Lepisosteus oculatus: one gene and its partner. The protein of the gene in region 1 purifies or fractionates together with the protein of each later gene. This does not show direct contact. Links are inferred from orthologs where the notes say so. Each region holds a gene or a part of one and is shown in the gene's direction. Other genes may lie near its edges.

What was found.
Region 2: the proteins of psma3 (region 1) and psme1 purify together in Homo sapiens (affinity purification with western blotting; 4 studies listed by BioGRID, with this or other methods). This does not show direct contact. The link is inferred for Lepisosteus oculatus from reciprocal best matches to the Homo sapiens genes PSMA3 and PSME1.

Annotation. Positions count from the first base shown.
Region 1 is NC_090703.1:4,536,985-4,545,041, reverse strand, and holds the start of psma3 (proteasome subunit alpha type-3), read left to right. Parts: upstream 1-4,874; 5' UTR 4,875-4,992; coding exon 4,993-5,013; intron 5,014-6,017; coding exon 6,018-6,100; intron 6,101-6,553; coding exon 6,554-6,677; intron 6,678-6,810; coding exon 6,811-6,912; intron 6,913-7,364; coding exon 7,365-7,438; intron 7,439-8,057. Other genes in the region: mipol1 (mirror-image polydactyly gene 1 protein), read right to left, coding at 2,231-2,322. UniProt on the Homo sapiens protein: Component of the 20S core proteasome complex involved in the proteolytic degradation of most intracellular proteins. This complex plays numerous essential roles within the cell by associating with different regulatory particles.
Region 2 is NC_090699.1:14,406,748-14,414,430, reverse strand, and holds the start of psme1 (proteasome activator complex subunit 1), read left to right. Parts: upstream 1-4,585; 5' UTR 4,586-4,713; exon of another isoform or gene 4,714-4,802; 5' UTR 4,803-4,841; coding exon 4,842-4,880; intron 4,881-5,629; coding exon 5,630-5,662; intron 5,663-7,506; coding exon 7,507-7,569; intron 7,570-7,683. UniProt on the Homo sapiens protein: Implicated in immunoproteasome assembly and required for efficient antigen processing. The PA28 activator complex enhances the generation of class I binding peptides by altering the cleavage pattern of the proteasome.

The DNA of each region.
Region 1 (8,057 bases):
AGAAACTTTTAAATAACTTCTTAGTTTTTAATTGAGTGAGACAAGCTTATCACATGAACATCTTAACAGATTACAAAGCGGTTAGAGCTAATCTCTCTCATAACAAAGTATAGAGAAAGCTTAAAGAAGGGTTTAGATAGTGTACATTTCGCACAACCAAGATATCAAAAAAGAAGATGAATGAAAGAGAAAAAAAAAGAACAAAAACTGTTTAGAAAAATCTGATTTCATTACAAGTTTTGCAAAAGAAGACCAAGTTTGCATTTCACTGCTAAGCATTGGAGCGGGCAGGAATATTGGCTTGGTGTCTCTCCCTCTGGGAAAGAAAGCTCTGTGTTCTTTCCAATTCTGCACTCTGACCTCTTAATTTTTAAAGATTAATAAATAGGTCAAGGCTTCCCCCTAGAGGGAAAAGAGAAAAATAACTACGAAAGCATGGATGATGAGGAGTGCCATACTGCCTCATTCGCTACCAATTATCGGAAAGCTTCTCAGTTCTGGTACAGGCCACAGCAAGGTGTGATTATGCCCTGTGTGGAATACAGCACCCACACAGTCAGGGACAAGGACAATGACCTTTCAGAAACACCAGCTCACCTTGACAACACATCTTTCGGAGGTGAGAAGAAACTGGGGGACAAAACTGAACATGCAAACTCCACACAGAAGATGCCCTAGCTGGAACTGAGCTGTGAGGCAGCAGCGTTAACTGCCATGACACAGTGCTCCCCTGCACCACCACGCTTCAGAGTCACTCTGTGCCCAGCGACTGGTGGCTCCAGTCCTTGAGATTCAGTGGGTTCCCTGGCACCTGTTTGTCTGATCTGGCATTTCATCCCGAGAGCAAAGTGTGAAGGTTTTCTCAGGCAATGAACAATGATGGAGTTTTTGCAGTCTTATAGGAAAACAGATTATGAGCATTTCCTAAATAATAATAATTCCTTACACTTATATAGCCCTTTTCTGGTGATGAAGCCAGTTCATAGATAGGAATTATTAGGAAGCCATGATTGGTAAAGGACAGGGGGAAATTTGGCCAGGATGCCGGGGTTACACCCCTACTCTTTTCAAGAAATGCCCTGGGATTTTTAATGACCACAGAGAGTCAGGACCTTGGTTTTATATCGCAACCGAAGGACGGTGCCTTTTTACAGTATAGTGTCCTATCCACTATAAGTTATGGGCACTAGGACCCATACAGACCGTGGGATGAGCGCCCCCTACTGGCCCCTCTAACACATCTTACAGCAGGAACCTTAATTTCTCCCAGGTCAACCATCCAGGTACTGGCCAGGCTCACACCTGCCTAGATTCAGTGGGCTAAGGAAGATAAAATCAGCATAAGGTTTAAACTATTTTCTTGGATAAACCTGTTAACTCTAGGGATACTCATTATCTAGTGCGGAGACTGACATTAGCAAACAAAACAAACCATTTTAAGAGCCATATTCGTAACCAGAAACCAGTCTTTGCAGGTTCCTCTCCGCTGCTCAAGCGAACAACAACATGTTCAATATCTTGTTTCTAAAACAGATTGTGGTCTGACATAACCTCTTCCTATGATCAGCAAAACGAAAACCATCTAGCTCTCTTTACGCAGTTTTAACTAATTGCAATATGGGGACACTGTACTTCATTCTTTATTTACCGACCACGAGGGTGTTATAGCAATTAGGTCGAATACTTTTCCTGTGAAACATTTACTGTTTCTTTTTTTTTTTACTTTATATAGCTAGGATACTTTCCAGAGAATGTTTAAAGTTTTCGAAAAACAAGAGAAAATAGTGATTTCACAACTGATGGAAAAATTAGGAGTGAATGAGAATGTTAAATACATTGACAGTATACACTATTAACAGGACAATCATATATAAAGTAAATGTAAAACAATAGCGCCGGGTGCACAGAAACAATGTTAGCTGTAAGAGAAAAAAAAACTGTGGTTAAGTAAACGTTGAAAAGTAAAAAATGTGATAACGTGCAATGCCATAAAGCATGCCTTGGATTGGGTGTAAAATACATGATGAGTGACAGCTGGACAGTCAACAATACAGGCGAGCGGAACACAAACGCGAGTCGCACAGACACGAAATTGCACCTCCGGTTCGACCTTCGCCGATACTCTTGGGTCAGGAGAGCCGAGGCGCCCTGTTACTGTTGCACCGGTCTCAGCCGTGCGTTTGAAGACCGGGACCAACAACAGAGAGACCACAGCAGCAAGCGCACTTACATTTCGGCAAGTTCGCCTTGCAAACTCGCCATTTTCCGTTTAACCCTCTGAAGGGCGCTGTGCAAGTCAGGAGCCCGGCTGCTAGCGTGCATCGGCCCAGCAGAGCCCTGTCCTGCTCCATGCCCGGGGGGTGTTTCTCACAGAGCAGACCCCCTGCCTCCCCCCCGACAGCGTCTCCAGCAGCACTGGGCCGAAGCAGAAACCGCGAGCACTTCCAGGTCACCGGCTGCGGAATTGTTCTGGAAACAATGTAGTTGTTGTTGTTGAGCACCTTTTATCTTTAACAATCAAATACGTGTCACCGTGGTCGAAACTTTCAACTCCCCCCACACCACCCATGCGGTTCTGATATTACCAACATTATTTTACAAAGTATTTTAATGAACGTCAGATGAACAGAACTCCCATCTGAGCCTGGTTGTGAAAACGAATATTCATTGGATTTGTTTTAAGTCAATTCTTCGTGAATTGCATTTTTTCTCTCTCACTCAATTCGTATTTTGGTAGGATATACAATGACGAATTATTTCAGCCTTCAGCTTTTTGCAAATATATGCAATATATGCTTCTTTTTTGCAGAACTATCGCATCGATTTCATATAAAACATAATTTGAGAACAGACACCTTTTTTTTCGCATTTCAGGTGGGTTTAATTTTTTAATGGGAGACAGATATTTAAAATGTATTTTTTTTAATCCTCCAGTGCATTATCCTATCCTACTTTATGTCCGTTTAAAAACAAAATCATACTTTTAACTTTTTTTTTCTTGGAACAGCGAGACACATCTACGTGCATCTATTTAAAAAAAGAGTTATTGAAAATCGTGTCATGAGCACAACGTCCGCGATTTCACAACTTGTAGGTTCTTCGACATGTGTACTTGTAGTTTTCTTGATTAAAACTGTAGTCACCTGTTTACACTTTGGGAAACAACAAACACAGCGGTACACATCACTTACCGAAAAAGACAGGTTCTCGAGCAGACCGATGGTGATTTTCTGTTTATATCACGGCTAGTAACTTCTATATATTATTATTATTGTTGTTGTTGTTGTTGTTCGGATTTGTGTCCTAACAGAGAAACTTTTTCTTCCGCTGATGTCACGTTTCCACTTGGGAAGACGACGAGAGAAAATGCCCTGGAGTGAGTGAGGTGTCTGGTTGCAGGCAAGTGGGGCGCTGTGAATCCTGAAGAGGGCAGTCGAACGCTTTGGATAAGGAAAGGGAAAGTACACTAGTCAGCCATTATTTGGGCTGAATACTTCAGCCACAAAAGTAAATGGTCTAATACTGCTCACCCTATCCATGCTTTTAAAGTTGAATTCCCTTTTTATTTGAATTCTATTAGAAATTTAAAGAATCAAAAGGCAATGGAGATATTTCCATACAATGAAAATATGTAAAAAGTATAACTTTTAGCTTGTCAATTCCCCTGGGTGTGAAGTGTCTATTTCTGTATCTATTTTAATATTCTGTCTCCTTTTTTTTGTATTTCTGGGGTTTCAATAAAAACTTATTGAAAATACTTATTTCAAAACTTATTGAAACGTATTTAAAAAACGTATTTTTAAAAAAGTACAGTAGTAAGAAATGAGGCGTATCTCCTTCTTAATCCACCTTAATGTTAACATTATGGGGGATTTGGTCCATCAGTAGATCTGAGCTTTTCCTTTGAATAATTATCTTGAATCTGTCACACTAGAACTAGCTTTTAATTTGCTTAGGAACATTCACAATACTTTACACATTTACATGAACTTACATTGCACCTTGGGTTAAAACGTGCTATACAAATGTAAGTAGTTTAAAGTAGTTTAACATTACTCATAGTTATTCTTGTCCAAAACTATTGTTCATCATTTTTTTGTTTTGAAATGCATTGCTCCTGAGTTTCTCTATTATTTCTAATTATTTTTATTATGTGTGGTAGATATGGGGAAGCTGATAGCACCCACCTGTTATTGTAGCGACCTGAGTATACGGAACAATCGCACATAAACAAAACTACAAGCCTGGATGTCGAAAATGACTTATTCAATTAAGTATGACACAAATAATATGTTAAAGTATATATACATATATATTTCAAATCTGGTATTGTATACATTTCCAACCATCTGTATGAGAAAAGCATTTTTAATTGAAAAAGACAGAACTAGTATAAGATTTTATTGTCCCCTGAGGGAATTTTTTTATGGACACCACGCACTCCCGTACATTTAAATAGAATGCAAACACCAAAAAAAAGAAGAAAAGAAAAACATTGCACATTCTTCTATTACAAAAAATAAGAAAAACAATGCACATCACTCTATTGCACATGCACAGTATAACACATAACAACATGTAACATTTATAACGCATCACAAATCATAAACAGTGTATACATATATGAAATCATTGCTTCGGAATTTCTGCTGTATTTTTCGAGAAGGTACGCGTGGTACAAACGGACTCTCCACTCTGCGTGAAGCAGAATCGCAAGAAGTTTGATGAGCCACAACCCCGTACAACGTGACGGCTTTCCAAAGGGGAAACAGGCCGTTTTGTCCTTTCCACCAGCAGGCGGCGCTGTCCGAAGAGCCGAGGACAGTCCCGGCAGCGCCGCTCATCCCAGTGGGGCGAGATTTCAGCCAATCGGCTTGTGCGTTGTTAGCCGGTGGGAGAGTGTGGCAAGTCGGGAAATTGACAAACCTAGCCAGCGAGAAAGAACAGCTTGTAGGGGCAACAATACATATATTCTTGACGTTGTAGCCCAAAATGAGTTCAATTGGCACCGGGGTAAGCGACGAGTCTTTGAAATGTCTGCCATTATGGCGGATAAATTACTGTATCTTAGCAAAGTTGGGCATTTTTAGAACTAAGCGTTTTCCGGCCTTTTTAGCTAGCCGTACGTGAGCGGTGAGGTCCGCTGAATTTCGGTGGCTTCTTGTTGTGCTTTCAGTCATGAACGTGTCTGTCACGGAGAGGTTGTCTCTCTTGTACTTTGTTTTTTATTTTTTTTTTTGCTCTGTGAGATACGCTGCAAGGCGCTGATAACGATTGTCCGGAGGACTGTGCGGACTTGTATGCTTGCTGAGTCACTAGCTCGGTCGGCGATGGTGAAAGTGAAAGCGATTGGTACTTGTAGCAATTTGTTAGCAACTCATCATAGAGTCAGTACTACCCATTCCTTCCTATTATATTTATATTTTATTTCCTTCCTATTTTATACATTATTTAATTATAGGAAGGCAAGCATGACTTTGGGCGGGGGGGGGTCTGTGGGAATGATTGGGTTTTAAGTCATGTTACCGTTGCCTGTATTGTTGTTTTTCCATTTTGAAAGAGTAGAAATGATAAACAATATTCAACACAAGGTGGAACACAAGGCAGAAATGGAAAAGATGTGCTTTGAATTGTTATATTTTAACGTGTAATTCGATATTATAATTGTAATTCACCGGGTGCAATCAGAGGCTTCTCTATTTAAGCTCGTTAAAACAACTCTGCACAGAAGAGTACTATATTTTTGTCTAATACCTAGATTGGGGCACGGGGATGCCACGTTTACCATTTGTTGTTTTTTTTCATTCGTAAAGCAAAATGACAAAGACTTGACGTGAATTAATGTGATTGTCACAGACACATCTCAGAATAATTTACCAATTTGTTTCGAATTATGGCTGAATAGCACAGATGGCACCCATGTGAGCTACACTGATGTGATGTATGAACTCTGAAAGAAGTGGTTTCACAGAGCTCAATCCTCCCGTCTGATTGTGGTTGTACACCTCTGATTTCAGTATGATTTGTCTGCATCTACATTCTCCCCAGACGGGAGAGTTTTTCAAGTTGAATACGCCATGAAAGCAGTAGAAAACAGCAGGTGAGTCTTGTCTCCTCTTTCTGAACTGTGAATGCAGAAAGGAGTTGGTGTTGTGAAGAAAATTGCAAAGGCATGCTTAACGTTTTGTACACCTTTGCTGCTGATGTGCCTGTTAGATACTTAGTGCTGCGCAAAACACATGTGATTGTCGTGAGCTGCTGCATGGCAATGACTTTGAAGACTAGTTTCCACTGGCATTTCAGCGGTAAAACTAAAGTGATGTCATGGCTCCAGGAAATATTGATTCAGTGGGTACAAAGATAGAGAAGTGTGTGTGTGCAGTGTACTATATTAGTCCCATCAGAAGCTCAGAATATTTTTTGATTGTTTGCTTCAGTCCATTGGTTTTTAAGAAGGGACTAAACACCTGGTCTGTTCATACTCTTTGGATTCTCCCAGCCAGAATTTGCTCTCATTGCTGCTACTAAAATGGTTTTTGTTTCCGTTCTGTAGCACAGCCATTGGGATCAGGTGCAAAGATGGGGTGGTGTTTGGAGTTGAAAAGCTTGTCCTCTCCAAGCTGTATGAAGAGGGTTCAAACAAACGCATCTTCAACATCGACCGGCATGTGGGAATGGTAATGTCTGTTTCAGCATTTCACCAAAAAAGGCTAGGCTGCGAGTTGGCATTCTTTCACACTTTTAGATGTAAAATACCCATTAGAAAAGATGGTAAAGGAGCATAAAGATGCCTTTCGTTTTGCCCCACAGGCGGTGGCAGGACTCTTGGCAGATGCGCGATCTCTTTCGGAAATTGCGCGAGAGGAGGCTTCCAACTTCAGGTCCAATTATGGTCATGACATTCCCTTGAAGGTAGGAGATTTTTTTAACAACCATAAAATAGTCCCTAAGCCACCATTATCATCCCATTAAAAAGAATGGTTCATTTTCGTGTAACTTCTGACGAAAGATGTTTAGTCCTTGACCTCTTCATTCGAAAGAGAAGTAGAAACTGACAGAAGTTACCAGTACGCACAGTGACAGATCACATTTACTAGGAGGAAATACCTTCTTGAAAGAAAATGGTGTTTTTTTCTGATATTGCTTTGACAAGAGGCAAGATTTCATGTAGAAGATGTATTTATTTCACAGATGCCTTCACACAAGGAAGGCAACATTTGGTAAAAACAGCAACTGAACTGTATTATGTAACTTCTGCACTGTTTATTTTTACAATTTTAAAGAGATTCCGTGTATGGTCGGCTTATTCTGGGGTAGTAGCATGGAGTGATAGTCTGATTACAACTTCTGTCTTATTCTTGCAGCACCTTGCTGACAGAGTGGCCATGTACGTGCACGCGTACACCCTGTACAGTGCGGTCAGGCCCTTCGGGTGCAGGTAATGGGATTCAATCTTTGTTTATTAACAGTGGCGAATAACTACTTTAAAATACACTGTACTATGTGCCTGTGTAAGTAAATGACAAAGTTGAACTGAATTTCCATGTGTATTGTAGTTTCAGCTGTAGGCAAATCTAGTAAAATACAGTATCTGGGGCTGTGATGTACAGTTAGAATATTGTGAAAAGAGAGACATGGCTGCTATAATAAAGAAGCCTTATAGTTCTGTTTAAGTCCAGCAATCGGCCCTAGTAAACTAAAATTAAATGAAAATTGGCATTAAATACTTTAGTGAAATGCTTGGTCTTTCTGTAATTATAGTCTTATGTTTTTCTATCTCACACAGTCTCTTGTAGATTTGTCAGTGAGTTCCACAGTTGTGGTGCTGCTGCACACGTAAAGGCTCTGCTGTTCTGTGTGTGGAGCCTGAATCAGCAGAGTAAAACAGCCTGAATCAGCAGATATCGAATAAAGGGCTCGATTATAATCATGCAGTCGGTCTTTAAGATAACTTGGAGCTAGACCATTCAGTACTTTCTGGGTGAGCAGGACAAGCCTGAAGTCTACTGTAATTTAACAGGGAAACAGTGTAACTTACACAGGGCAGGAGTTATGTA
Region 2 (7,683 bases), on another chromosome or scaffold:
TCCTCTTTACTAGAGGAACTGTAGAGAATCCTGTTCACTAGAGGGACTGCAGTGAATCCTCTTTACTAGAGGAACTGTAGTGAATCCTCTTTACTAGAGGAACTGTAGTGAATCCTGTTCACTAGAGGAACTGTAGTGAGTCCTGTTCACTAGAGAGACTGTAGTGAATCTTCTTCACTAGAGGAACTGAAGAGAATCCTGTTCACTAGAGAGACTGTAGTGAATCTTCTTCACTAGAGGAACTGAAGAGAATCCTCTTTACTAGAGGAACTGTAGAGAATCCTGTTCACTAGAGGGACTGTAGTGAATCCTCTTTACTAGAGGAACTGTAGAGAATCCTGTTCACTAGTGGGACTGTAGTGAATTCTCTCACTAGAGGGAATGTAGTGAATTCTCTCACTAGAGGGATGTAGAGAATCCTCTTTACTAGAGGGAATGTAGTGAATCCTGCTCACTAAAGGGACTGAAGTGAATTCTCTAGAGAGTGTAGATAATCTTCCATGAAGTAGCTGACATGGAAAAGGTGTGTTGGTACCAAAGAGTGGAGAGTCTGTTAAGCGAGGTCATTTAACATGAATATTTTAGTTGATCATTTCAGGTGATTAACTGCGCAAAGCCAAAATCTGAATAATAAATTCAAATAACAGAAGCAGAAATTCTTTATTTTGTGAAAGAGAATTATCTGATTCTGCAGTCTTGACCTAATTCATCAGTGGCAACGTGTTATCTCCAGATCACTCCCCTTCAGCCACGTCCGGTCGCTCGGTGTCCCGGAACGACGTGGCCGGGTGACGCCTCTGCCACCTGGTGGACAACCCGGCAAACTACAGCTCGGTCCCGGAGCGCGCTGCAGCTTGTGAAGACGTGACACGCGGCACGACGCGCGCCCTGCCGCTCTGCAGGTGAGACACGGCGTCGCAGGCACCGCCGCAGGTGCTAGGGTCCGAAACAGGGTCACTCACAAGGTCAGGGGTTCCAGTCCTGGTCTTGGGGAGCCCCAGTCCCCAGTCTTGTAGGTCAGGGGTTCCAGTCCTGGTCCTGGGGAGATAATTACAAATCTGGGGTGAGTTTCCCCGAAAACGCTGAATCATAGAGACTAACGAGCAGCATTACGATGTACGTACTACTTTTTCGCGCGTTTCCCCAAACCCCCCCTTAATCGGTCATTTTAGAGCGAGTATAAAGTACTTCTTTGCTCACCCCGCCCCTGAAGTCGCTTAGCAAAATTGCTGATAAAACAATCGATCGACGATACGTTCATTATATGGTGTCGGTTTTGGTCCTTCAGTGGGTTGAAATTAAGTTGTGAAAAGGAATATGAAGTAAACACGACATCATAATTTAACAGCCATTCAAGCGAAAGCGTATCGATAGGCACAAAATGGGACACTTATTGTTTCTAAGAGAAAAGAAAATAAATGACTGACGTGCCGTAAAAGAAAACCAAGACTGACTGTGTGGAGAGTGTATGCATCCTGCACGGCGTCTTCGATTTAAAGCAATATTTTTTAGCGCGCTGCCACTGTTAAGAATCAGTGTTTCATGAGAAAATACTGCTGTTATTAATAGTTATTGGGTTTATTGGAACTCCATTTTAATCGGTCTTATTAACACGACATCTGTAACAATGAACTAACCAAGCTTGGCACTCAACTCGACAAATACAGGACCAATAATCAAGTTTGAAAAGAAGCAGGTCTAAGCTTTACCGTCATCAATCACGACAGAACATAAAACGGTATTGGACTTTTAAATATGGCATCGACCGCGGGTTTCGGTAGGGAACGGAGCGGGCGTGGGGCTCGAGGAATGGGGTTGAACAACACATTTAATAACGAGAAACGAGGAAAGGTGCATACACAGGGACAGGGGTTACAGCGCTGCACACACACACACAGGGGCTGGGTCCAGAGTGAGCCCGGGGCTGAGGGGGGAGAGAGAGGAACTCTAACACTCTCTCACTCTCACTCTCACTCACACACACACACACACACACACACACAGGGGCTGGGTCCAGAGTGAGCCCGGGGCTGAGGGGGGAAAGAGAGGAACTCTAACACTCTCACACTCTAACACACACACACACAGGGGCTGAGGGGAGAGAGAGGAACTCTAACACTCTCACACACACACACACACACACACACACAGGGACAGGGACAGGGGTTACAGCCCTGCACACACACACAGGGGCTGGGTCCAGAGTGAGCCCGGGGCTGAGGGGGGAGAGAGAGGAACTCTAACACTCTCTCACACACACACACACACACACACACAGGGACAGGGGTTACAGCCCTGCACACACACACACAGGGGCTGGGTCCAGAGTGAGCCCGGGGCTGAGGGGGGAGAGAGAGGAACTCTAACACTCTCTCACACACACACACAAACACAAACACAAACACACACACAGGGGCTGGGTCCAGAGTGAGCCCGGGGCTGAGGGGGGAGAGAGAGGAACTCTAACACTCTCTCACTCTCACTCTCACTCACACACACACACACACACACACACACACACACAGGGGCTGGGTCCAGAGTGAGCCCGGGGCTGAGGGGGGAAAGAGAGGAACTCTAACACTCTCACACTCTAACACACACACACACAGGGGCTGAGGGGAGAGAGAGGAACTCTAACACTCTCACACACACACACACACACACACACACACAGGGACAGGGACAGGGGTTACAGCCCTGCACACACACACACAGGGGCTGGGTCCAGAGTGAGCCCGGGGCTGAGGGGGGAGAGAGAGGAACTCTAACACTCTCTCACACACACACACAAACACAAACACAAACACACACACAGGGGCTGGGTCCAGAGTGAGCCCGGGGCTGAGGGGGGAGAGAGAGGAACTCTAACACTCTCTCACACACACACACGAAGGGAAGAGAGTGTCTCCCAGCCTCCGCCCGGCTCTACACAGCCCCGCAGTCCCGCCCCCGGGCGCTGTTCTCAGTCCGCCCTGGCGTGCGCCTGCTTACGCGCCCTGCGTGGCGCAACAGTATAAATACATGTGAGACCCAATGATTTCACTTAAATAAGGCATTACTGCATTTCATCGCGGCAATCATATCATCTAGTCAAGTATAAGACTTAGCCGTTTTTATTTTTGAATGAAGTGTATTGTAACGGATTGGGGTTCTCTGGGCATGCGCCCTCGCCGCTCCCGTACAAACAGGTAGAGGGGAAATACAGATGAAAGACAGACAACATAAACAGAACAAAAACACAATTAACTGCCAGCGGGAATGAGGTGAATATTTATGTAACCAAGCTACATGTTTACAAATATCAAATGTTTTCCTTGCTTTAGCATTTTTGCACGTTCTTTATGGAATTTAAATCCAGTTTAAACTCCACCTCAAAGGTACTAAAGGAGGGAGTATTATTGGCCCATTTGACTAATAAATTCATTACTGTATAAATAAATGTTCGTTTTCCAAATTTCCTCTTACATGGTACAGCAAAATATCAAACTCCTTCATATAAACTCTTAGTGTCCTGTATTCCCAGAGGATGCCCCTGCCGTGAAGTGACGGTGCTCTGTCTGGGATCTCTGGCGCTCAGGGTGGGCAGGAGGAGGCCAGTTTAAGAAGCCCTTAGTGATGAACGAGCGGGTCGGGGAGCACGTCGAGTGCGAAGGGTTTAACGTGCTACTTCAGTAACGACGGATTTGGGGAAACACTCGTCAATTAACGATCGATCTTAAGCTCGAGTTTACGATGTTCTCAGCGTCTTTATAGTGTATGGCTTAAGCAATAGCTCATCTCCAGCGTGCAAGCGTTAGAAGCGGGGAGTAGCATCGGAGCCTTTTTTATTTGTTTTTTATTAAACATATAAAGAATTTACAAATACAACTACAACCATAGGATCCGAAACAGACAGGTACGAGAGAAAAAAACACAAACAGAAAAAAAAAACATTTAACCGCCAGAGGTAGTGAAGTAAATGATGTGATCAAATTGTATTTTTATATATATCATGTGTTTTCCTTGCTTCATTATTTCTCAAATTTATTATAGAAATTAAAAAGTGTTTCAGCTCCACTTCAAAAGCACTAAAAAGGGGAGTACTATTAGACCATTTTGATTTATGAATGTGACATTTACCATGAATGACTTATACATTTTCTTTAAATAAATGCTCTTTTTCCAAATTTTCTATTCAACAGTACAATAAGCGTCGGAGCTTGTGGGGACAGGGACGTCACAGGGTGCCTCGGTCGCCGTGACGTCACGACAGCAGCGAGCCGCCGAGACGCTCTCGGGTACCGGAGCGAGTTCAGAGACTCTCCCCCCGCACGTAACACGAAAAGTGATTATTCAGCCTCTTATAAATAAATATTGCTCCTAAATCAATGCGGGTTGGCATAAGATCACAAAAGACTATTACTGAAGAAATAAATACCTGTATAATATGCACATGATTTAGAAAGTTAAAGATACGGACGAAGCTAGGCATGGGAGTTGTAGTTCCTTTGCGCCGCTTTCGACGCTTCAGTCAACCGGGACGGCCGGGGCTAGAAGACTACAAGGAAATCCCCATGAGTGAAGTTGAGTTTTTTGTTCTGTTAGTTCGTATGTTCGGGTTTCTCCATAACTTTCGGTTTCACTTCGACAGTGCTGACTAACCGTGTCTGTCGAGGCCTGCAGCAGCGCACATCTTCAGATAACATTCACCTTCGAAGGGGGTATAATCGCACGGTAAATTGCACGATAGCCAATTGTAACGCAGGTGAACTTGCTGTCGTGATAATAGCGATAGTCGTGACAGTAATCGGTGTTTCCAGCAGCAAAGCCCGGACGAGACCTTACTCAAGTACCGCACCGCGATGAATCCGCTGGAAATGAAGCCAGAGACGAAGAAACAGGTTATTGTTGTTGTTGTTGTTATTATTATTATTATTATTATTATTATTATTATTATTATTATTATTATTATTATTATTATTATTATTGAGAGATGAGGGGGCAGTAGTCTAGGAAAGAGAGAGACAGACAGATCTCGGAGTGTGCGAGTGTAATCCGACTCTCTGTGTCTGCACCTCCTGAGCTACACCTGTCAAAACACTGACTCCTAGACTGGGAGAGAGGAGGAGGGGGTTGTGAGGGGTCTGGAGAGGAGAGAGGGGTGGAGAGGAGAGAGGGGTTGTGAGGGGTCTGGAGAGGAGAGAGGGGTGGGGAGGAGGAGAGAGAGATGAGAGAGGGGATGTGAGGGGTCTGGAGAGGAGAGAGGGGTGGAGAGGAGGAGAGAGGGGGGTTGTGAGGGGTCTGGAGAGGAGGAGAGAGGGGTTGTGAGGGGTCTGGAGAGGAGAGAGGGGTGGAGAGGAGGAGAGAGGGGGGTTGTGAGGGGTCTGGAGAGGAGAGGAGGAGGGAGAGTGGAGAGAAGGAGGGAGAGGGTTTGTGAGGGGTCTGGAGACCCTCTGGAGAGGGATTAGAGAGGAGAGAGGGGAGAGACTGAGGAGAGAGGGGAGGGATTGGAGAGGGGAGAGACTGAGGAGAGAGGAGAGGGATTGGAGAGGAGAGAGGAGAGAGGGATTGGAGAGGAGAGAGGGACTGGAGAGGGGAGAGAGTGAACTGTGAGGAGTTGGACGATGATGTGTCTCGCTGTGTTTTGCAGGTCGATGGATTCTGTGCACAGCTGTCCAAAGAGGTGAGCCCACTCAGAGCGCATGGCAGGTCACAGGAGTCCCCGCTGTCTGCTCGGCTGCTGTGTATCAGCTGTGTGTCGCGTCTGTGCTGTGTGCATTTTTGCTGTGTTGTGTTAACTGTGGGTCACGTGGACTTGTGCATTAGCTGTGTGCAGTGTTCGTGGGGTGTTATAGTTGTGTGTTAATTGTGTGTTGTGTGTTGTCTCTGTGTTGTGTTAACTGTGTGTCACTTGTAGACTTGTGCATTAGCTGTCGCCAGGTGTCGGGGGCTGTCCTGTGGTCAAGCTCCTGCAGTTCAGAGAGGGGCAGCGTGGGGCTGTCGTGTGGTCGAGCTCCTGCGGTTCAGAGAGGGGCAGCGTGGGGCTGTCGTGTGGCCGAGCTCCTGCGGTTCAGAGAGGGGCAGCGTGGGGCTGTCGTGTGGTCGAGCTCCTGCGGTTCAGAGAGGGGCAGCGTGGGGCTGTCGTGTGGTCAAGCTCCTGCAGTTCAGAGAGGGGCAGCGTGGGGCTGTCGTGTGGTCGAGCCCCTGCGGTTCAGAGAGGGGCAGCATGGGGCTGTCGTGTGGTCAAGCTCCTGCAGTTCAGAGAGGGGCAGCGTGGGGCTGTCGTGTGGTCAAGCTCCTGCAGTTCAGAGAGGGGCAGCGTGGGGCTGTCGTGTGGTCGAGCTCCTGCGGTTCAGAGAGGGGCAGCGTGGGGCTGTCGTGTGGTCGAGCTCCTGCGGTTCAGAGAGGGGCAGCGTGGGGCTGTCGTGTGGTCAAGCTCCTGCGGTTCAGAGAGGGGCAGCGTGGGGCTGTCGTGTGGTCAAGCTCCTGCAGTTCAGAGAGGGGCAGCGTGGGGCTGTCGTGTGGTCGAGCTCCTGCAGTTCAGAGAGGGGCAGCGTGGGGCTGTCGTGTGGTCGAGCTCCTGCGGTTCAGAGAGGGGCAGCGTGGGGCTGTCGTGTGGTCGAGCTCCTGCGGTTCAGAGAGGGGCAGCGTGGGCCCCAGCGAGCCGGACTCCTGCACCCCTCCAGCAGACAGGAGAGGCTGGCGAAGTGTTTTGTTCAGGGAACTGTCGCTCTCAGAGGGAGGTGCACCCAGACTGGGGGATGGCTCCGTTGCCTAGTTGTGTGAAGTCCTGGGGTGGGCGCTGGTGAGGGCAGAGTAGTTGGAAATTGGGGTGTAAACGTGCTACAGCTGAGCAAGGCGCCCCAGAAGGCCTCCGAAGAGACAGAACAAAAATTGTGTGGTGGTGTGGTCTATCTCTCCGGTAGTGTGGTCAGGCTCTCCAGTGGTGTGGTCAGACTCTCTAGTGGTGTGGTCAGGCTCTCTGGTGGTGTGGTCAGGCTCTCTGGTGGTGTGATCAGGCTCTCTGGTGGTGTGGTTAGGCTCTCTGGTGGTGTGGTCAGGCTCTCTGGTGGTGTGGTTAGGCTCTCTGGTGGTGTGGTTAGGCTCTCTGGTGGTGTGATCAGGCTCTCTGGTGGTGTGATCAGGCTCTCTGGTGGTGTGGTTAGGCTCTCTGGTGGTGTGATCAGGCTCTCTGGTGGTGTGGTCAGACTCTCTGGTGGTGTGGTCAGGCTCTCTGGTGGTGTGGTCAGGCTCTCTGGTGGTGTGGTCAGACTCTCTGGTGGTGTGGTCAAGCTGTTTGGGAAGGGAAGCCAGGCTGCGGTGCAGTCAGGTTACTCCTGAAAGGGTGTCCTGGGGGAGGGAGAGCCAGGGCTTGGGGGCGCCCTGGAGCTGGAGCTGGAGCCCATGTGAGCGGTTTGGGGTCCGAGCAGGCCCCTCCGCGCCCGGCCGGTCGGGTGGCGCGCTGCTGTGGGGGATCTGCCTGCAGGAGCGTGCTCACGGGCTGCCCTGACGTGTCTCTCCTCGCAGGCCGAGAATCTGGTCGCCTCCTTCTTCCCCCAGAAGATCGCGGAGATGGAGGCCCTGCTGCTGGTACGGACTGTGTGACTGTGTGTGTGTCCTGGTGCAGTTCAGTGTGTGGTACAGCGCAGTGGAGTTCCCTGCCCACTGCTGTGCTCTGTGCGACTGCACAGTATAGTGTGTTAT